5 separate regions of the Mus musculus genome follow, and all the other regions are reported to be linked to region 5. Evidence: microRNA targets listed by miRTarBase, many of them from high-throughput screens and not tested one by one. Region 5 holds a microRNA gene; each other region holds the end of a gene's coding sequence.
What was found. Region 5 holds the annotated microRNA mmu-miR-5135 (AGGUCUAGGUGGCAAGGGCGUCCU, at 2,331-2,354, shown strand). A microRNA usually pairs through its seed, bases 2 to 8, with sites in the 3' UTR of a target mRNA and lowers its output. Matches are read on the target gene's strand: a 7mer-m8 pairs with bases 2 to 8, a 7mer-A1 pairs with bases 2 to 7 and ends in A, and an 8mer does both.

Region 1: the mRNA of Luc7l2 is a reported target of mmu-miR-5135. The part of its 3' UTR that is shown has no 7-base or 8-base seed match.
Region 2: miRTarBase lists Paqr5 as a target of mmu-miR-5135. Seed matches in the 3' UTR shown: 7mer-A1 at 3,318-3,324.
Region 3: the mRNA of Xrcc2 is a reported target of mmu-miR-5135. Seed matches in the 3' UTR shown: 7mer-A1 at 2,290-2,296.
Region 4: the mRNA of Mdc1 is a reported target of mmu-miR-5135. Seed matches in the 3' UTR shown: 7mer-A1 at 2,009-2,015.

What each region holds. Positions count from the first base shown.
Region 1 is chr6:38,607,515-38,611,974 of GRCm38, forward strand. It overlaps Luc7l2 (LUC7-like 2 (S. cerevisiae)), which reads left to right. Exons shown (of 10, transcript NM_138680.3): 10 at 639-1,956. The coding sequence ends at 816. Among named protein-coding and RNA genes, the nearest start is that of Klrg2, 27 kb to the right of the region's middle.
Region 2 is chr9:61,952,320-61,956,779 of GRCm38, forward strand. Paqr5 (progestin and adipoQ receptor family member V) reads right to left here. Exons shown (of 8, transcript NM_028748.2): 8 at 1,419-3,968. The coding sequence ends at 3,727. Among named protein-coding and RNA genes, the nearest start is that of Kif23, 7.8 kb to the left of the region's middle.
Region 3 is chr5:25,688,301-25,692,760 of GRCm38, reverse strand. It overlaps Xrcc2 (X-ray repair complementing defective repair in Chinese hamster cells 2), which reads left to right. Exons shown (of 3, transcript NM_020570.2): 3 at 1-2,947. The coding sequence ends at 648. Among named protein-coding and RNA genes, the nearest start is that of Xrcc2, 15 kb to the left of the region's middle.
Region 4 is chr17:35,856,888-35,861,347 of GRCm38, forward strand. Mdc1 (mediator of DNA damage checkpoint 1) reads left to right here. Exons shown (of 16, transcript NM_001010833.2): 16 at 576-2,783. The coding sequence ends at 743. Nrm (nurim (nuclear envelope membrane protein)) reads left to right here and starts at 4,431. Exons shown (of 4, transcript NM_134122.2): 1 at 4,431-4,460.
Region 5 is chr12:76,531,037-76,535,496 of GRCm38, reverse strand. Mir5135 (microRNA 5135) reads left to right here and starts at 2,285; the gene lies at 2,285-2,363. It overlaps Plekhg3 (pleckstrin homology domain containing, family G (with RhoGef domain) member 3), which reads right to left and starts at 1,937. Exons shown (of 19, transcript NM_153804.4): 1 at 1,679-1,937.

The DNA of each region.
Region 1 (4,460 bases), not on the chromosome of region 5:
TACATTTTGGTTTAATGAATTCACTTGAATAGTGAACCAGATTTTTAAATTAGCAAATGGTTATTTAAAGCCATATTAAGTAGTTCTCTTACCTAGTTTGCAACATACTGCCCATAGGACAAATGTGGCCGAAGCCTGTTTGTATAAAACCAGAAAGCTATGGATGGTTTTGCATTTCTGTCATTTTTAAAGTTGATAGAAAAGAATAACTCATACACCCTGATCTTGTAATTTACAACACTTCAAATCCTTATTTAGCACAAGAGATGACTGCTGTACAAATTCATTGGTTTCCATCCAATTTGGAATCTTGATACTTTTCACTTATAAAAGCAATTACTTATATATTGTTTTTATACTAAATGCCTTTTTATTAGTTGAAGAAACTTTATCTCTGAAATACTAAGAATACATTGTTTAGTTTAGGCTCTTTTGCCCTTAACTGTATAGCTATTTGTTCTTCCCAATTTTGTTTTGGTGCCCTTTTCAGCTGTATAGTAGGACTCTATTCTATAAGAAACTCTCTTCTCAGATATATTCTTACCTATTTCTTCAGCTATCAGAAAATATTGATCCTATTCTTTCATTGGATTTTGGGTGTCCCAACATATTTTGCTCCTCAAATTAATATTTTTCAGATCCTCAAAAGAAAGATTCAGAGATCAAGACTTAGCATCACGTGACAGAGACAGGAGTTCAAGAGACAGATCACCTCGTGACCGAGATCGAAAAGATAAGAAGCGGTCCTATGAGAGTGCTAATGGCAGATCAGAAGACAGGAGGAGCTCTGAAGAGCGTGAAGCAGGGGAGATCTAACTAGCTGTGTACATATCTTCAATCCTTAAGCTTCCCATGGAGTTACATGCTATTGTTTATAGTTGTAAAGGGTGACAGTTCTAGACACCGATCCAGTCAGACTAGATGTATAGTATCCAATGATTTGAACTGAACCTGTTTTCCTTCATAAAGCCTAAAACTACATCCATAGTTTTTTGTGAACCTGAACATAACAGTTTATATGATGAGATACTGTTCTCTATTCTTTCAAGTTAGGAGTGATAGTGAATGAATTGTGTTAATGTCTTGCAGTTTTTGAACATTTGTAAAATATTGTCTTCTTTTCTATTCCAAACAGCAGCAGCTTTAGGATTTTTTTTTTCCATTATAATTCTTCTTCCTTTGACTTTTATATCTCCTGATACCTGTTCCTCCAACTATAAGAGGAGAGGGTGAAGGGAAGTATTGTAACTTCTTTTCTAAGGTTCTGTTCACGTTGGTTATTAGTTGATTACAGTTGAGCATTTCTACTGGATTGTGTGCTGGAGACATTTAAACACGGGGCTGTTTTGTTAGGGGCCTATAGAGTTGGAAGTTGAACAGCTGTTGCATTACATACTTTTGCTTTTATATTGAAAATTTGAAATCAGACTTGCCTTGATTTTTTTTTTTTTTTTTTGTTCTAAGAAACTGCTATGTTCAGTATATTGAGGGGGGTGGGGGGGCAGGGACTATTTCATAATAGCACTTGTGTGTGTGTGTGTGTGTGTGTGTGTGTGTGTGTGTGTGTGTAGAGTTTAAAGACTATAATTGTAAAAAAAATGAAAAGAATCATCACCACCACTGTAACTTGTTGATAGTAAGTTGCCACTAGAACTATTTGCTGTGGTTATTTTCTATTTTGTAACATCTTAACAGTGCCTTTCTGTATAAGGCACCAAAGGAAGTAAATATTTAACTCTGGATTTCAGATGAATTGTTGCTCCACCCAAATCTCTTGCTGCCTATACTATACTTCAGAGCTGTAGTGAGCAGCTTCTGTAAGGAAAGAGTGAACCTGTAGAAGCAACTAAGAGTTGCTTGGTTTGTATTTCTTAATTGACAAGCCTGAATAAAAACCATATGTAACCAACATACTGAAACAGCAGTTTCTGCATTAAAGATCTAATTACCTACTGACTACCTAGTAGTTAACAAACACCTTTTGTTCTTCTAGAATATAGGGGAAATAATATATTAACTAGTAAAGTTAGTATATATTAAGATCACTTTTTGAAGGGTAAGATCTCATGTAGTGCAAGCTGACCTAGAATTCACTGTGTTAACAGGGTATGACTTTGAACTCCTGACCTTTGATTGAGCCTTTGCCTCACTGCTCAAGATTATAGATGTGTACAATGAAACCCAGTTAAAATACTATTTCGGGGTGGTTGGTGGTGGAGGGCAGTTCCCAAAATTTAATGACAGGTATTTGACCGTTTGTGAATGTGAAAGAGCAGAAAAATAATGGCCATTTGTGTGATTATTCTTGAGTTTTAGAGATGAGATCTTGTTCATGTATCCTTGGCTTGCCTTGAATTGCAAACTTTTTGTCTCAGCCTTCTAAATATTGGGAACATAGGCACAGACCAGCGGGTGTAGTTTAAACTTTTTTTTTAACAGCAGAAAGGAACAAAAGCATGATAAATTATGCCCATTATCTCAGTGCTGATGCATTTGTGAGGCTGAGGCATGTGCTTGGCAAGTTTAAGGTCAGGTAGGGGCACTCCTGTTTCCAGTTTACCAAGTGAACACATTTATAAAAGACTGTCAGGAATGCCTGGGACAAAGCCAACATCTATGAAGGATAACTGTACGTGGTGTTGCCCTATTTCCAAAGCACCATTGTTACAGTCTTTTTTACTTTAACTTTTTCTTTTGAACTGAGAAAAACATGAAAAAAAATCAATTAGCAAAATTGGGGTGTGAGTTATATGTGTTTTAGGTTCCTGAATTTTCCCCCAAAGAAAGTGCAGTATAAATGACTTGAGGGCTGGATTGAAGCACTTCCATTTCCTGTTTGATGTCTCAGTTTCAGTTCCTAGCATTATGAAAATTATATTGTCAAAAGTTTTTGCTGCTGAGCAAGGCATGGTGAGTGCTCTGGTCCCACAATTGAGGGTAGTTCGGAAGCTAAGAGTGGATTTGGAGTTCAACACCAGCCTCAGCAGCTTGTAAGCCTTATACAAAGCACACTTGTAAAAGTGTGGTTTTTGAAATCACATAAAGGACCCATTTCAAAAATAGGCCTATAGTGAATCGAAGTCCAAATTCCAGTTTATAGAAAATAAGGTAAGTTCTAAATGTATGTTACTTTACAAAACAACTGGCTAATTTTTCTTCAAAAAGTCAAAGATTTAGGTTAACCAATAACTGTGTTTGTAGTCTAATTAGATCTAAAAGAGATTTTTGACTAGCTGGCCATGGTGTTTCATGCCTGTTATCTAGACACATGAAAGTCAGGAGAATTTCCATGATTCTGAGGCCAACTTGGGCTACAATAGAAAAACCCTGCCCTTTGGAGGAAAAAAGTAAGAAAAAATAGAGAAACTGAGAGATTATATAGACTGGAAAAAACTTGTTAACTTATATAATGATAAACTTGCACTACATTAAAAAAAACCTTATTTTTAGTATTTATGTGAGAGATGATATTTGGTACTTATTTCAAATGATGCAGTTAAATATCCACATACATATAAAAATAGTGTGTAATATGTTAAATATTAGAAGAGCTTTATGTATATTTTCAATTTTTTCTTTTTTTTTTTTTTTTTTTTTTGGTTTTTCAAGACAAGACAGGGTTTGTCTGTGTAGCCCTGCTGTCCTGGAACTTACTTTGTAGACCAGGCTGGCCTCGAACTCAGAAATCCACCTATCTCTGCCTCTGCCTCATGAATGCTGGGATTAAAGGCGTGCGCCACCACTGCCCGGCTATTTCTTAAGATTTTATATTTGAACCTTATCAGAATCACACTAATAGATAACACCAATGGACACATACACAAAAAGTACCTGAGACCATCAGCATTGAGACACCACTGCATACCTACTGAAATGGCCCACAGAGGGGCAGTATAGCAATATCAAGTGCTAGTGTAGGTGGTGAACAACTGGAACCCCCAAAAGGACTGAAAATGGCACAGCTGCTGCTTATAAATTAGGCATGTCCATAACACAGTTCAGTCGTCTTGCTGCCCAAGGGGGAAAAAAAACCAGGAGACTCCACAGATTTGTATTTGAATGCTTAAAGCAGTTGTGTTTATAGTAACCCCAAACCACAAATATTAGAAAGATCTATCAACCAGAAATCAGACTGCGGTGCATCCACACAATGGAAATAATTGCTAATGTATATAGCAATGAGTAACTTCATATACTCAACTGAAGGAGCTAGACCCAAAAGAGGACACTGTACAGTTCTCTTCATGTGAATTAAACAGGCAAAAATAACCTGTTAGCCTTATTAGGGCTTGCTGCTGAGCAGTAAGCCTTTTAGGGTGTTAGACATTTTCCGTACATTGAATGGCAATGTTTATGTGCTGCCTACTCCTTGGCCTTTTTAAAAATTTTCTATTTCTATAAAAATAAATATTGGTACCTTAAAATTGTGAATATGGGGGCTGGAGGGAGGACTTGGGTTA
Region 2 (4,460 bases), not on the chromosome of region 5:
ATAGCTCACAGAGCAGCTCAGGAAAGCCCTGGGGCACTCTCTCCAGAGAACAATCGGTTGCTGTCATTGTCTCCCACAGTGCGTTGGACAATCCTGGAAGGACTGGCCTGACTCCTCTCCTTCTCTGCTGGCCCCAAGGCACAAAGTGTCTGCCCACTAGTCACCAGCCAGTCTGGCTCCTGTGGCCCTTTGAAGCCTCCACAGAGCTGTCGGCTTATCAGACTGGCCATGCAATCCTCTGGGCTACCTTTTCTCCCAGCTCCCTAGGTCTGTTTCCTTGGCAGAGATTTTTTTTTTTTCCCTACTTATCTGCCCAGCCAGCAGTAGGCCCGCAAAGGCAGGCCTTGCAGGATTCCCTCATCTCTTTTCCAGAGTGTCAGCCCTGCACCTATTGTTTTTGGTATTGTTTTTCCAGTGGTCTTGGGGAACCCCTGTAAAAGGGTCATTTGACCTGCAACAGGGTTGTGACCCACCAGTTGAGGGCCACTGAACTTGAGTGATCACTGGTTTTTGTTTGGTTTTTTTTTTTTTTTTTTTTTGGTTTTCGAGACAGGGTTTCTCTGTATAGCCCTGGCTGTCCTGGAACTCACTTTGTAGACCAGGCTGGCCTCGAACTCAGAAATCGGCCTGCCTCTGCCTCCCGAGTGCTGGGATTAAAGGCATGCACCACCACGCCCAGCCTGTGATCACTGTTAACTATCTAACTACCAGACTGGCCTTGGACTCACTGCGAAGCTGAATCTGTCCGGATCCTCCTGTCCCCATCCCCCAAATGCTGGGATCACAGGCATGTATACCATGCCCAGCTTATGCAGTGCTTAGTATCAAAGCCAAGGGCTTCATGCATGCCAGGCCAAAACTCTACCATCTGAGCCACAAACAAGCACAGCCCAACTTTATACCTTCCCCCCCCACCCCACACACACACTAAAACGGGGGCTGTGGGAAATGTGCAGTAGATAGGGATGCCACTGAGAGTGTCAGATTATTGCTAAAGAACAAAATTTGTTATGCAGTTTGCAATTAATGTACCAGAAATTTACCAGCCTATATAATTGTATCACTCACTCTCCCTTCCCCAGGGGAAGATAACTGATACTAAAATAATGAAATCCTTCCGCAGGGGAAGATAACTGATACTAAAATAATGAAACCTTATTTCTTGACCACTCACATCCAAAATATAATTGGTCCTTGTCATTAGAGGGTGAGGCTATGGGCTGCTGGCAAGGTCATTGACATAGCTGAGCTGCTTAATCCTGGAGGGTGTGTTATAGGACAAGAGGATATTCCAGAGTCAACAAAGAATATCCAGCATTGTGATGGACAGCCCCCCAAAGTCATTACCAGGTACAGATCAGAGGCTGGTGAGCCTCTGTTAAATTTTGTTTTGTATCAGCATTCCTGAACTCCCTGAAAACACTATAAAACGCTGAACTTTAATTACAAATGCAACAAACAAGGGATTGGCGTGTTTGGTATCATGAACCTAAATAACAGAGTTTCTCCAAAGACAACAAATTAATCCAGAACAGATCTGTGATAGCTGCACTCGTGCTGGTAAGTGAAGTGCACATACAGAGTCTAGGCAAGGGTGAGTGTGCCTGGACACACTTACCCGTGCTTATGCGCTTAGGACTAGAGGCTGATGTCAGAATGTCTACTCCATTGCTTCCCCACCTTGCTGAAACAGGACCTCTCACTAAGCTGCTCTGTATGGATGCCTGGCCAGTGAGCTACCAGCACCTGCCTATCTTTGTTCCCAATGCTGTGGTTACAGGTATATGCAGCCACACCTAGGTTTCCGTGTTGTACGTGGGGGCTAAACTCACCTTGATGCTTGCACATCTTGCCATCTCCACTCTATAAGGTGATATTTTTAAGGCAAAATGAGGAAGATGCCATGTTGTATAAGAACACAGCAGTATTTGGTTATAAGCATCAATAACAAGGTAACGTTGGTCCAAGGGTGGACAGGCAGCTCTGGATAGAAGTCCTGCACAAGTATTATCTGTGGAAGACTGAAGGGATTGTCGCACAAGGCTATGGCCTTAGCAGAGTTGGCTTTTGGGTTTTTGCTGTTCTTGATGTTCTGTTTTGTGATTTCTTTTTATTGTTTAATTTTTTTAAGCAGGGATTTAGTTGGGCTTATCATTCAGAAGGCAAATTGGCATCCACCATGCATGGTAGGGAAGGCACAGATTCCGAGTCTGAGGCTGGCCCAGCAGTCAGGAGGCCGGCAGGCAGGAGGCCGGCTGACCACGCTTCGTCTGCGCACAGGACGCTGGCATTTTAAAATCAGTGTGCACGTCCGAGAGCCTTGCCTTCAAGCTTCCTGGCTTTATTTACTTTTTAGTCTAGGGTCTAACCCATGGGACTTCATTTTCATTTAACCAGTTAAAAAAATATCAATAGTAGAAGATCCTGGAGAGAAAACAGGGACACACATGTAGATGGCAAGTTGCTGGAGCTTTGATCAAGTTGTAAATGAAAGACAGCACAAATGTCTTCAGCATCTGCCTCCTCCCTCCTGTGCTGGGCTTCTGGGGAAGTGCTGCTGTCTACATTTCCCACACTTCCTACATTTGGTGTAGGAAAGCAGAAGCCCTAGTTTACCCCAGGAAATGCATGTCACAAGCTTACCCACCTGTGTGTTTCTGTGTCACAGGAAAGGTTGAAGACAGGACATTTGACTGTCCCACTGGTGAGGTCAACACCCTCTGCATAAATACTAAGTCTGGCAGCATCTTGGCATGCCAACCCAATGTCAGGCATGGGATGTCTCCAAAGACAGCTCTTCCATTGCTTGAAAAAGGGACAGGGAGCCCTAACAGCTGGGATGGCATCAATGAGCTCCAGAGGCCATCACACCTTATCGATACTGTAGAATACTTTGTAGCAGGTCCTGGGGATCGAACTCCTGTTGTCAGCCTTGGCAGCAAGCTTCTTAACTCATTGAACCATCTCACTCATCTGGGGGAAAAAGCTTAGCTATACAAAGTTCATCAAATGTAGCCTCTGCTGTTTTTAAACATCAATACAAAAACTAGAGAGGCAGGGCAGTATGCTTAATATAACTGTTGGAATAGAATTGAGAACTATGTTTTTAGAGATACAATCTCATGCATCCGAGGATGGTTTAAACTTCTGACCCTCTGATTCTGCTTCCCTGGTGCTGGAATTATAGACATGAGCCACAGGACCAAGTTCTGCTGTGCTGAGGATCAAAACCAGAGCTTCAGTGTCTTGGCAACACACCTTTAATCCAGCGCTCAGGAGTCAGAGGCAGGCAGAGCTCTGTGAGTTCAAAGCCAGCCTGGTCTACATAGTAAATTTCAGGACATCCTGAGCTACATAGTGGGACCCTGCCTCAAACAAACAACAACCCAAAATAAAGAACAAAACAAAAACAGGGCTCTGAATATTCTAGGCAACTACTTACCAACTGAGCTACACCTCCAGGCCCTAAACACCCCATTTTAAATAAGTTTTAAACTTAATATTTATCCTTATCCAGGACTTATGCTCAAATTCTACCTTTTACAGAACACATACAGAATCTGTGTGTGTGCAGAGAACTCTGCCCAATTAAATCCTTTTTGTTTTGTTTTTTCCGATATGAACCCATTAAAAAAATGTCAAGACATCAGTTGCTACGAATGCTTTTGGCCACTGTAAGCCAGCACCACACCAACTGCTAACACCAAAGCCTGGCACATTCTGAAGTCATGTTTCCTTTTCATGTAATTCAGGCTCAGGGATCCGATACAGAGCAGCTGAGAAATAAATAATGTTGCTGAGGCTGAAGATGATGCACAGAAGCATGGCCGCTGCTATCTGAGGGAAAGAGAAGGGTCTGGAGGTGGCCAGGAGCCACTCCCTCCTCAGGGTCTTGTCCAGAAGGATGGCTTCCATCTGCAAGTGTGTGGCCAGGATGACGCACACATGAAACAGCTGGTGACTGTGGCCTATGGCAAACAGAAATGGACATCGAGATTAGCAGTCAGAACCAGAGAAACAGCTTAGTGGGTGAAGACTCCCGCTGCCACCAAGGGGACCCTCAGGAGAGGAACCATTCCCACTATTGTCCTCTGACCTCTGCATGTCATGGCTTGTGCACACCCATACATACATACATACATACATACATACATACACACACATATGTAAATTAAGTGCTAAGGAGTCATCAGTCAACAAGTATATGGACACACAGAGGCTATAATATGGATGGTAACATGGGACTGCAAGGAGCCAGCCAAGAAATCACATGTATAATTTTGTTTGGTCTCACTGATTCTGGCATTTTGAGACTGCGTGTTACACAGGCTCAACTTCAACTCTCTGTGTAGCTGACGATAACTCTGAATTTCTGATCTCCTTGCCTCCACCTCCAGAGTGCTGGCATTACATGTTACACAACCACACCAGTTTTATAATTTCATTTGTAAGAAGTGCTT
Region 3 (4,460 bases), not on the chromosome of region 5:
CGATGTATACTTCCAAAATCAGAGGGTGGACTGCAAATAGAAGTCTTATTTATTGATACAGATTACCACTTTGACATGCTACGGCTCGTGACAGTTCTTGAACACAGACTCTCGCAAAGCTCCGAGGAAGCCATGAAGCTGTGCCTAGCCAGGTTGTTCCTGGCGTACTGCAGCAGCAGCATGCAGTTACTGCTCACGCTGCACTCCCTGGAAGCCCTGCTCTGCAGTCGCCCCTCTCTCTGCCTTCTCATTGTGGACAGCCTGTCGTCTTTTTACTGGATAGACCGAGTCAGTGGAGGAGAGAGTGTGGCCCTGCAGGAGTCAACGCTGCAGAAGTGCTCTCAGCTCCTAGAGCGGCTTGTCACTGAGTACCGCTTGCTGCTTTTTGCGACAACGCAGAGTCTAATGCAGAAAGGCTCAGACTCTGCAGACGGGCCTTCTTCCTCCAAGCACCCATGCGATGGAGACATGGGCTACAGAGCCTATCTCTGCAAGGCCTGGCAGAGGGTCGTGAAGCACAGGGTCATCTTCTCCAGGGACGACGAGGCCAAGAGCAGCCGGTTCTCATTAGTTTCACGTCATTTAAAAAGTAACAGTTTAAAAAAACACAGTTTTATGGTCAGAGAAAGTGGGGTGGAGTTTTGTTGATCTCTATCATCAAAAAGGCTTTTAGGTGCACTAAGGCAAGTCTTTAAAAGTCCTTTATAGGCTAAAGTGGTTTGATTCTAAAGTTTGTAATTCTGGGGAAATTAAATAGTACAGAAAAACTCGAAGCTGTTCTGTCCCCTTCAAGGTGTGGAAGGTCAGTCAGAACATGCTAAACTCCACCGAGCTTGTCTTGAAGCTCAAACCATGATACACATTTCAGACTAGGTCACTTTCTGCATACTTTAGGAAGGGTTCACCGCTGGTCCCTTGGCTCCTAGAGGCTGTGGCTGGAGAGAGTGCACAGAGCTGTTACTCTAATCAAAGGAAGACACACAGGGCCACCAGCTCATCTGCCTCCCTCAGGAAACTGGAATGAGCTGGGTGTGCTGACAGGTGGCTCTCCGTGAGCTCAAAGCTTGTCTGATCTAGATAGTGAATTCCAGGATAGCCAGAGCTACATAATGAGGTCCTGCTTCAAAGAGCTACTCAGGAAACAGATAGCTAGGTAAATAGATGAGACTAGAATGTTCGAGTCTTCCTCCTTCCTCTCGCCCATTTTTCTTCTTTCTACCTGCTCCCCTTGTCCCAAGGATGTCCTATAGTTCAGGCAAGTCTTCATCACATTTCTGCCTCTGAGGTAGCCAGGTAAACAATGTTGCTCCTTGGAGCTGAGAATTCTGATAAGTTGCACTTGAAGATGAATGTCTATGATTTGGGGTTCTGTGTAATTTTTCACACACAGGGAAATGATGTACTCACTTTCGAATTCGGAAGTTCATTTTGGAATGTTCATCTCACTAATTGATAGATCTGAAGAGTTATACTAGATGCCTTGGAACATCTAGGCTGTTATTTCCAGCTGTGCGCTGAGGGAGACTTGGCACTGCTCAGGAGGTGTCCTAGTGAAGATTACTGTTGTCATGACCAAGCACTGTGAGCAAAAGACTGTTGGAGAGGAAAGGGTTTGTTATAAGGTTTACACTTCTCTTGTATATTGTAGTCCATATTTGAAGGAAGTCAGGACAGGAACTTAGGAAGGGCAGGAACTTTGAGGCAGGTGTCAATACAAAGTCCATGGAGGGTGCTGCTTCCTGGTTTGCTCCACGATTGATCATAATGCCTACTGCCTGATCTTATGGAGACATCTTCTCAACTGAAGCTCCCTCCTCTCTGGTGACTCTAGTTTGTGTCAAGCTGACATAAAACTAGCCGGCACAGAGTACCTGTAGGAAGAAGGCTTTAGAAAATCCCTTTACATCTTCTGACCCAGGGAAAGGCCCACATGTGAGTTCAGACTAACTGCTATTCTCAAACCTGTTAATGCCTATGTCACAAACGATCCTGTTTCCCTTTGTTCTTGTGGCTTTGTTCACTCATTACCACAGGTTTATGAGTTAAAAAGCATCCTGTTGAGAAGCTGAGACTAAAGTTCTTCACTATGAAGGCACAGCCATGTAACTTGCTGTCTGTGCCCTACCTGTGTCCCTGGGCCTGCTTGTATTTACCCCAGGGCTTCTGAGGCTGTGTTCTGTGCCTAGAGCCTGCTGGCCTGCCTGCGGGCTGAGCTGGACAGTCCTTTTGTTGTTTTTTTTTGAGACAGGGTTTTTCTCTGTAGCCCTGGCTGTCCTGGAACTCACTCTGTAGACCAGGCTGGCCTCGAACTCAGAAATCCGCCTGCCTCTGCCTCCCAAGTGCTGAGATTAAAGATGTGCGCCACCACCGCCCAGCCTGGGTTGGACAGTCCTTAAGCAGAGAAGGTAGGAGCTGACTTCCTGACTTCCTCAGCCACTGCAAGGTGGACAGCCAGTTACTTCAGTAATGCTTCCCTCGGGGTATCATGCTCCCCAGTTAACTCTTCTCAAAGACTAATCAGTGAGAAGGAAGACTTTTTAACCCAGGGTCTCACTGTGTAGCTCCGGCTGCCCTCCTAGTTGCAGGCATTAAAGATGAGTTCTGGTCTGCTTGGCTCATTATTATAATTTAAAAAATAGTTTGGCATTTCTAGGAGCCAGTCTTACAGCAGACATCCCATTCTCTGGCTCTTATAGTCTTTCCGCCCCTTCTGAGATGCTACAGCCCTGAGCCTTGATGCAGGATGTACTGTAGACAGATGATGGGCCGGGCATCTCATGCTCGCTTGTTCCCTTCATCTTGATCTCTGTGGTTTTCTGTAATGATTTCTGTGGCAAAGAGACATTTCTTTGTTGAGGAATGAGAGCTATACTTAATCTTTGTATATTTACAATGCACAGAGGAATTATGCTGCTTTAATAAAGTGGTTTATTAATACAATTTAAAACATTTCTATATTTCATATTTTCATTGTTTTCATTTAAAAAAATTGTTGTGTGTACCAGCAAGGGTGTGGAGTTCAGAGGACAGCTCTCAGGATTGGTTCTCCCCTGCCATCTTGTGGGGTTCAGAGGTCAAACTCAGAACTACACATATGCACCTCTACATGTCACGCAGGAATAATTTATTAATTATTCGTAATTTCCTGTATGGAATCTGTCACTTTTACAGTGCTGTTCTCCCATAGAAGACGTGCAAGGCAGTCTCTCCCCTCTCAGCCCTATAGCCTGGTAAAGTGTGTGACAAGCAGCTTTGCAGGGCCTAGCAGAGCTCTACCCTTGATGTGATGTGATTTCCCTATCCTTTAATGGACTGGGTTATTCAGGACCATGACTAAAACATAACAAGTTTCTATTGTAACCTAAATTATCAATTGCATAGTAATGTGCCAGACCAAAGACTTAGTTAACTTGGAAAGATTGCTGTCTGGCCTGATGGATGAAATTAAGAATACTGATTGATAAAAAAATTTTCTTTTAAACTAACGGTTATGCTAATGGAACTTAATGAGCAACATGGAAATTCCAATGCCTGTGGGGAGAAGGGGGCTTAAAGAGAAGGAAGAGGTATGTTATAAATTATATAGATAGCAGATGCAGGATGCTAGATAGGACCAAAAGAATAATATAAGTGAGTGGCTACAGGTCTTAAAATATTGATCCTACTTACCAGGGGATGGGGGAGTCCTTACCTGACCTTAGGGCCATGGTAAGAACCTTGTTATAAAAAGGCATGCTTAGTCCAGACATTCCTTTTGAAAGATACTTAAGAGACCTGAGCTAGCACGGAGCCTGTTTGTGGAGGGAGGCAGGTGACATGTAGCCCAGGCTGGCCTTCCACTCACAGTAGTTGCTCTACCCTTTCACTTCCTTCTGTATGTCTTGATTTCAGCCCTTAGCGGTAAAGCCCACATTCACACACACCCATTGCTAGACAAGCTTTGTTAGAGGGAGAAAAATGATTCCAGAAGTCAAGGCTGTCTTGGTGCCTTGGTATATTGCATGCTGTGTGGCCCTGAGGGCTTGAGTGTCATCCCTAGAACCCATTTAAAAAGCCAGGTATGGCAGTGCCCATTCCCAGCGCTGGGAAGGTGGAGACAGGCTGAGCCCCAGACCCATGAGAAAGATCCTGCCTCAAACCACAGTGATGGTGCTTGAGGGATGATGTCTGAGGTTGACCTTTGACCTCTAATCACGTGCCTGCCTGCACAGATGTACACATAAATACGCAAGAAACCCTGAGGTGTTGAATAGTGCGGAAAGCCAATGGAAAACACATCGTTACTAAGAAATTAATGACAAACAGCCACTATTAGCCCAGAATACCCGCCAACAGCCATTAATGCTAGTATTACAAGGCTTATGTTGCTTATTTAAACTCTTCCCCGTGTGCGTTTAGGGAGAATTGCACTGCCTGTAATAGCTGAATATGTACGTGTAGACTTATTTGTTTTCTTTTGT
Region 4 (4,460 bases), not on the chromosome of region 5:
AAAGGCGTGCACCACCACCACCCAGCTCCATGTATTTATTATATTTTCTGATTCTCTATTGTGTAGTGCCCCTCGCCCTCACTCCACCCCCTGCCTTTGTAGGAATTGACTTCCAGCAGGGAGGAGACCAGCTGTCCCTGAGAATATTCCTCAGTCAGGACTTTCCTGTGTTCCCTTGTTTGCATCGTTTTTATCTTATCCCACTATATTCTGTGTCTCATGCAGATTATGATAAAAGCTGCAGTGGGGGCTGGGAATGGAGCTTGGTCGGTAGCCTGTTTCCTAGCATATACAGAACTGGGCTTGATACCTAATACACATAATACCTACCTGTAATCCCAGCACTCTGGAAATGGGGACAAGAGGATCAGAAGCTCAAGGTTATCTTTAACTATGTAGTAAATTGCAGGCCAGCTTGGGTTAGTTATATGAAACCCTTTTCAAAGACAGGGGAGGGTAGGTTGAACGTTTGCGTGAGTGTGTTGTGTGTGTGTAGGTTCAGTTCTGAAACAGCTTAATGGGTCCTGCATCTGTTTCAAAGTTCCTTCCTAACCGTCTTTGCTGTCTCTTCACAGCTTCACCGAGTCATCATAACTTGCACTGAAGACCTACCACGCTGTGCTATTCCATCCCGCCTGGGGCTACCCCTCCTCTCTCCTGAGTTCCTCCTGACTGGAGTGCTGAAGCAGGAAGCCACACCAGAGGCCTTTGTTCTCTCCAATTTGGAAATGTCATCTACCTAAAAAAATATGTACCTTTACCTTCTCAGACCATCGAACAGTCCTAGAAAACACTTGGAAAAAGGAACACACACATACACAATTAAGACGGGGCAAGGTGGTTCACACCTTTAATCTCAGCACTTGGGAGGCAGAAGTAATCATATTTTTCTGAGTTCTGGGCTAGCCAGAGGTACATAATGAGACCCCATCTCAAAAACCAAATCAAACAACAAACCTCAGGGTTTCACAAAGGCCTAAGGTATATTGTATCATCGTAACTGTTTGGGGAATGTGAATAAGGCCTAAAATGTTTTGGGGAAAAAAGGGAACTTTTTTCCTAAGATAGCCAGTTTTTTAGTTGGCTCACCTGAGCTGGGTATGGCTCTCTACCGAGCACCTGCCATCTGCCCAGCTGTGCTCCGAGGAAGCTGCTCCAGGCTCAGTGCCCTGACTCTACCTCCTGTCCAGAAGCCAGCATTTTCTCTTTACTTCCCGGGGTTCTACTCAACATGAAGCAGCTCCCAGGAGTGCTTGGTTGAGAAGATGAGGGTAGCTCATGGGTGTGGCTAGGAAAGGCTTTAGTTTTGCTGTACTTGCTCTGCTTTGCAGTGTTGGCAGTTAGCTGTGGTCATCTCCAGTAGCTCAGTGCTCACTCTGCCTTCTTGGTGGCAGGTTTCTGTGTGGAGACACAATGGATTTGAACTTGCACTTCATTTATTATTATTATTAATTTAGAGTAAATTGTATTTGTTTTTTAAAGTTGGCTACTTTCCAGGATGTGGAGAAAGTAGAACTCATGAATACTGCTGGTGTTTGGCTTGTCCTCTGCAGTAAACAGTAGCAAAGTTATTTCAAAGTAAGCAGAGCTAGCCGTGGGCATTGCCTGTAGCCCCAGTGCTTAGGAGGCTGAAGTAGGAAGCTCACCAGTGCCAGTTCAGCCTGGGCTACAGCGTGAGAGTCGGGCGTGGTGGCGCACTCGGGAGGCAGACGCAGGCAGAGCTCTGATTTCAAGGCCAGCCTGGGCTACAGAGTGAGTTCTAGAACAGTCAGGGCTGTTAACAGAGTAAATCCTGTCTCGAAAGAGAAGGAAAAAATTTTTTTTGGTTTGTTTTTTGCCATTTTCTCTGGACATGTGTAAGGTGAGTCAGTGCTCGTTGTGCCTGCCTGGTCACTCTATGACCCAGCAAGACTGTTCTGTAAGCAAAAAAAAACTCTGTTTTGTTTGGTTTTGTTTCTTCGAGACAGGGTTTCTCTGTATAGCCCTGGCTGTCCTGGAACTCACTTTGTAGACCAGGCTGGCCTTGAACTCAGAAATCTGCCTGCCTCTGCCTCCCGAGTGCTGGGATTAAAGGCGTGTGCCACCACGCCCGGCTGCAAAGAAAACTTTTAAACATGCATTTGGTATGTAATCCCAGCAGTCCCTGTAAAGGCTAGTAGGATCAGAAGTTCAAGCTCATCGTGGATTTTTGGGTTTTTGTTTTGTTTTTCCGCCCCCAAGGTCAGCTCAGTCTAAACTGCAAAAGATTCAAAAATGAAAAGCACTTGATGTTTTATCTTTTTGGTTGGGCTGGGGCTTGAACCTGGAGCTTCCTTCCTTTATGCATGCTAGGCAAAGCCTCTACCACTAAACCTTATTCCCAGCCCCTCACCTCTTTCCAAATATAGAAAAGCTGAAGATTTTTGTTCAGCAAGGATGAGCATATATACTGTCTGCACAGAAAGCAATGTTCAGACATGAAGTGAAAACACAGTATTTGAAGGTGGTCAAAGACACCCTAACACAAGGGCGAGACAAAAGGGACAGGTTTGATTCCACCTGCATAATAATATATAAAGTGTGGTGTGAATTCACAAAGGTAAGAGCAAATTGATGCTTGCCAGACCATGAGTACACAGAAGCTGTTCAAGGGGTCTAGTGTTCCCCTGTGGGGAGTTGAAAGACTTGGAATCAGAAAGAGGAAGTGATTGTACATAATGCAGAATATTAAGTACTAATGTATAAAAGGGTTGGGTTTTTTTTGCTTTATGAATTTCACTTCAATAAAAAAGTTGCTTACTTTATATTTTCCTGCAGTGAATTATGTATAAGCTTAGAGAACTATTGGTGGTTGGCACAAATGAGGCCCAACTCATGACAGGCAATTGCTTTACAACTCATTCACACCCCAGTTATATGCTTGATCTTTAAGGTTTTTCTTTTTTGGTGGTGCCGGGGGTTGAATCTAAGGCTTCCTGAAATGCTGCTCAAAAGCTTCACCGCTAAGCAGTAGTCCTAGACCATTGTTCATTTGATGCCTGTGGAGGCCAGAAGTCAGCCTTGGATGTCTTTCCTCGGGCCACTTTGTTTTTCTTTGAGATAGGGAATCTCACTGGGACATGGGGCACCCTTAGGCTGGGCTGGATGGACAGTGAGCCTTAGGCATTTGCCTCCCTAGAGCTTGCATTATGATTTAAGGAGGAAACAGGTTAAAGAGAAACCACACATAGTCAACTGCTTGTTTCCCACCTATAAGCTCTTCTGGGACCACTTCACAGTGTCTAGAAGATCAGTGGAGCCAGGATGTGATGCTAGGCCATAATCCCAGCACTTGGAGGCAGAGGCAAGAGGATCTGCTCAAGATGATTCTCAGCTACATAACAGCAAGTTCGAAGCCATCTTGCGCTACATGAAGATTCTGCCATTAAGGCGTGTACCACCACCTGGCTAGATTCTGCCATTAAAAATATATATACATTTTTTTTTTTTTGAGCAGTCCAAGTGGGGGCTGGAGAGAGCTCAGTGGTTGAGGGTACTGGGCTCTTCCAGAGGACCTGGGTTCAAATACCAGCACCCACATGGCAGCTCACCACTGTTACTCCAAGATCTGACACTCACATAGTTGCAAGCAAAACATCAATACACATAAAGGCAAAATAAATGTAAGTACAGAACTTCTTCAAAAACATTCACAGATGGAGCCCACTCAATACATTTCCCAAGCAGAGATCAGGGTGGGGAGGAAAAGTGCTATACAATGCATTAGAACTTGGTCCAGACGTCTTGGGAGCAACCAGCCTCCCTGCCCTTGCTCTATCTGTAATCTGAGAGAATCAGCTCTTGTCTTCTGAGGACCCTGTACTTGGATAGCTATGGTGATTGAGCCTTTCATTACTCGGTCTTTGGTTTTAGAGACAGGGTTTCTCTGTGTAGCCTTTGGCTATCCTAGAACTGACTATATAGGCCAGGCTGGCCTGGAACTTGGAGATCCATATGCCACCATCTCCCGACCTTGTCTCTCTCTCTCTCTTTTTTTTTTTAATGGCTTTTTCGGAACCGGTCTCCATATGCAGTCCAAGCTAACTTCAAATTCTCCTGCCTCACCCTTCCGAGTACTGGAATTACAGGCACGAGCCACCACACCCAGCTCTAAAACGGTCACTATACAAAAATCTATGTTGGGCGGGGTGGCGCCGTTTGTAACCCCAGCACATCAGGGATTGAGGCTGGAGAATAAGGAGTGATTATCTTTAAAAACAAGATGTTCTTTATGTTTCCACGCAAGGGAGGCTCTGTCTTCACTTTCCTCGAGAACACTGACAGCGCTGAGATTCGACCCACAAGGGTAGCCGCAGACCAGCTGCCCTGACGACGCCTGGGATTCCAACTCCGCGCTGTGACGCGCCGCTCGCGGTCCCCGCCTTGCCGCCAGCACCCCCAAGGAGGCGGGACCTGGGCAGGGCCAGCAGTCGCGGGAACCC
Region 5 (4,460 bases):
CCAGAGAGAGTGTAAACTGCCACAATTGGCTCCTGGTGTCCACCATCTCCTGTGTCACACATGGGGTATAACCAGCAAACATGTAAGGGCTCCTTGTAGCCACTACACAGCTATTTTTTTTTTTTGATAGGAGTTTATGGACTACTTCTCATACACCCTTCTCCCCTTTATTGTTACCACATCCCCTATAAAGAAAAAAGGCTGCTCTGTATGGAAACTGAGTCAGAAAAGATAAGTGAGTGAGGAGAGGGTGAGATCTGGCTTCAGGCCAATCATGTAAGAAAAAAAGCCTCAGACCCGATCAGTCTCTGATGTGACGCAATACAGCCAGCATTAAACCTCTAGCAAAAATCCTGTCGGACTCTCAGCCCAGTGGTCTTCCCACTCTCCTAGTCGGGCCACCTCTGATAAAAAGTCAATAGAAAAGCCCCAAGGCCACTCTAAAACAGACTACCACCCTTATCAGCCCAGACTAAGTGAAGGGGTGAAAGCGGATTTCCAGCACCAGCGGGAAAGTCCAGAGAGTGCGGCCAGCAGAGGCAAGCAGGCATTTAGTAGTCTGTCTACATGAGAGATGGGGTCTGTGAGCCATCCAGTGAGCCCAGAACCATAAGGAATAACAGCAGCGCCACAGTTGGCTTTCTGGTATTTAGTCCCTAGGTTTTATGCTGAGCATCTATAACACAAGATTCCAGTTTAGCAGAGGGACTGGGGAAGGCCAGGCACAGCAGGGAACATCGCCTCTCCCTCTCAGGCTGTCATTTTACTCCACACTAATTATTTCTGAAGGGTTCATTGTGACTGGAATGCACTCTTGAACAAGCACAGTTTGGAAGACTGGGAACCCTAAGACTAGGGTTCTCTGTAAGGTGCTCTAGTACTGATCGGTTGCTGGGAGGGTTAACAATCTTAACAGCCCTTAATCTACCAAGAGTTTAGCGACTCTAGACGATATACTCTCACCCAACTTTTAGCACCACCTCGCAGCGCCGCTTTCTCCACCCTCCAACCATCATGCGGCTTGTTCCGGTTTTTTTTTCCCCCCTTTGTTTTCAAAAGTAGCCGCAGAATAAATCGTTACCACCAAAGGAGCATCTTGAACGACTGAAGCTTGAAGCTTCCCAAATCAAAGGTCTGAGAGAAGGGTGTGAATAACCAAACCAGTTGAAGGGAGTGAAGGAGAGGCTGTTAGGGGCAGCATCAAGGGGCTCTAGATTTGCAGCTCCTGGACACTTGGCTTCTGACACCCACTCTAATCCTCCTGGACATGCAGCTGAGATTCCCAGAAGCACGGTGTGGCACCAACCCAGAACAGACTGAGTGCCTGCGCACTCCTGGGCTGGCGGGACCAGAGGCGAGTCCTTCTAGAAGAGCCCACAGTCTCAGGCAAGCACTAGCCCACGGGCGTCAGGGCACACAAGGAAGGGGTGGCGGGAATGTCGAGAGCTGCCCGGATTTCAAACTCTGCAAAGCCTATGCTGCTTTGGTTTCCGGGGTGGGGATAAAAAGTGACTCCCCTTACGACCTTCCCGCGACCCAACCTCCTCCGAGTGTGTCCGAGGCAGCTCGGGGCCAGGTCCTCATCCCACAGAGGGCTAGCCTGGGGTCTCCGCAGAGCGCTGCCACTCAGCCAATCGAGCATGGGCAAAGAGAGAAAGGCAAACCTAGGGACACTCACCAAGCGGTGGCCGCCCCGCCGGCTCGCGACGCGCCAGGCGCGCGGGGCTGCCCAGGTGGCGCCGCGAAGCGGGCTCGAGTTTGAAAGTCGCTCTCGGAAGCGGCAGAGGCCGCCGGCCGCTCCCGCCCACGGCTGGCCGCCCCGCGGTCCCAGCCTCTGCTCGCTGCGAGCACCAGACGCCGGGGGACCCCCGAAATGCGCACGGTTCCCCAGCACCGGGCAGGAAGTTGCGGCCGGAGTCCAGGCTGCGGCGGGAGGGAGGGAGGGAGAGAGAGAGGGAGAGGGAGGGAGCCAGGGAGGGGCGGACCAGGAATGTTTCCAGTGGGTGGAGACTGCGCTCGCGGCTGCGATCCAGCAATTGGCGGCTCTGGGGGGCCCGGGGGAACCTTCGCGGCGGTGCGAGCGAGCTGTGGCTCCCGCTGTAGACAGCGGCCGCCGTGGCTAATGATTAACGCGCGTGGCCCGCCGTGTGGGTCCCGCTGGCCGCCTCCCCTTGCCACCTGGAACTCTGGGATCCCAAGGCGCACGTGGTGGGGTTACTCTAGTGCCACCGCCCTGATATCACGCCGAGAGGGCAACGAAAGCCTCCAGACCAGGTTCCGACCAGAGAGGACTCGGAGCCCAGCCACCTAGACTTTCCCAGGAGAAGCGCAGGTCTAGGTGGCAAGGGCGTCCTGGTCCTACTGGAGCAGGTCACCACGACCGCTGAGTCAGAAAGGCACGTCTCGAATTCCTCGCCGAAACTAGGTTTCGGTGGCTCTTTACAGTTGTAAAATCTTACCTTCTGAGGAGAAAGAGATAAGAAGCGCATAACTTGGGGCGGGGCGGGGCGCGGCGCTCAGTGGGACTGTTAATGAGAAAAACTGATCGAGGAACCTGAATGTCAGTGGACCCCATTTTGAGTGCGATCTATCAACAAAAGGCATGTACCGGGAAATTAGGGGATGGGAAAATTGGGGGATGATTAGCACAAGCACATAGAATACAAACCAGTTAGATTTTGAGCAAGAACATAAATCTTTTGTGTGGTTTTTGTTTTTGAAGCAGGATTTCAATTATCTGAGACTGGCAGAGGGTAATCTTGAGAGTAATGGTTCTCCACCCTCTATCTCCGGAGTGCTGGGATTACTGGTGTGCACCACCACGCCCTAATTATTGTTTTTATTTTATTTTTTGATTTGAAACAGGCCCACACTTTGTAGCCCAAGCTAGCCCAGAACTCTTGAGTGATCCCCCAGAGTGCTAGAATTATAGGTGTGCGCTACTACACCTCACTAAGAATAAATCTTTCATTGGTAAAGATCTTAGGGGAGGTAGCATTAGATGCTGTCCCCAGTACGCACCATGAAGAGGGGTAGGAGATGGGAGCCCAGTGTGAGATCACAGAAGAAGTAGGACTCCTGCGTTAAACGATGGCACCAGGTTCTTGGAACAGGAATGGAGAATCGACCCCAGTAACTCAGCATTTAGACCGCCAAGTGTAGACAAGTGAAAATCCTAAATAGCTTATAAAATCCCCTCCTCCACCACTGCCCTCAAAAAAAAAAAAAAAAAAAGCTGCCCCAGGGAAAAGCAAGCACCTAGTGATTTACGGGGAGGGGCGGGGCAGAGAGAGAGGAAATGGCTTTCAGGTGACTTTGAAACGGGATCCCTGGGAAGAGTAAAGATTAAAGTAGTCCTTGCTCCTGACTGCGGGAGGGCCAGAAAGTAAGGCTCACGTTACTTAGTCCACAGGTTAGGCTTGAAGAGCGGCAGACTAGAGGACAGCACTGGTGAGAAACAAGATTACCCGGGAACGGGGGAGAGAGATAAAACTACGGGGTGGGATGGGAAAGGGAGAAGCCCCACTCCTTCCCACCTCGAACTTTCTGGGTTTCTGGTTTCTTCTCTAATCTGTTAAATCTTACCAGTCCTTTCCTACTAATCTTAAACTCCCAACTTCCAAAGACGTCCCCCAGCCCCAATCCAGAGATTTAAAACTTTTGAATGTATGACTGGCTCCTTAGCTAGAAAAGAAAAATAAAATGTTGATGATAGTAATGGTTAGGGAATGGTGCTACCAAGTGCACTGCACTTTATAATCACTAAGGCAGGAATACACTTACTCCCATTTTGCAGGAAGAATACTGAGGCTCTAAGGATGGAGCAGTCTGGCCAAGATCAATTGCATCAAGGGGCGTAGTCTGAGGGGGCGACACTGGAGTGCTTACTGTGTTAACCTTTGAGCATTTTACAAGAACAATTGCGGTTACAGGAGAAACTGAGGCTTGGTCATACTGCTAGTGGGTGGTAGAGCTGGGAGTTTCTACCCACAGGGAAAACTGCATTTAGCCAGCCAGCTCTTTCTCCACTTCCTTCTAGACACTTGTTAGTCCATTCTGAACTTGATTCTAAAGCCTCGAGTTGTTTCTAATTGCTTTAATTTATATGCCCATTTCCTGAAAAGATTGTAATCTTACTATGCAGAACTTGTAAGAAGCATTCAATAAGGCCATGCTGGAGCCAGATGAAACAAGCAAGATTTTATAAAAAATCAGTTTCCTACCTCCAAGCCTCCAAGAGTCAGTGTCAGGACCAGGGTCTCAAGCCGAGCCGCAGCCCCCTTCTCAGCGTTGAGCCTTTCTGCCTTCCCACCAGCTCTTGCTTCAGCGAGCGGCCTCGCCCTGCTATTAAATCATTTATTATTATAATAACACCTTGAGTCTCAGTAATGCCTTTAATCTGAGGTCTCAGGGTGTCTAACAAATACAAATTAATTCATCATCTCAGCCCCTCCACTTGG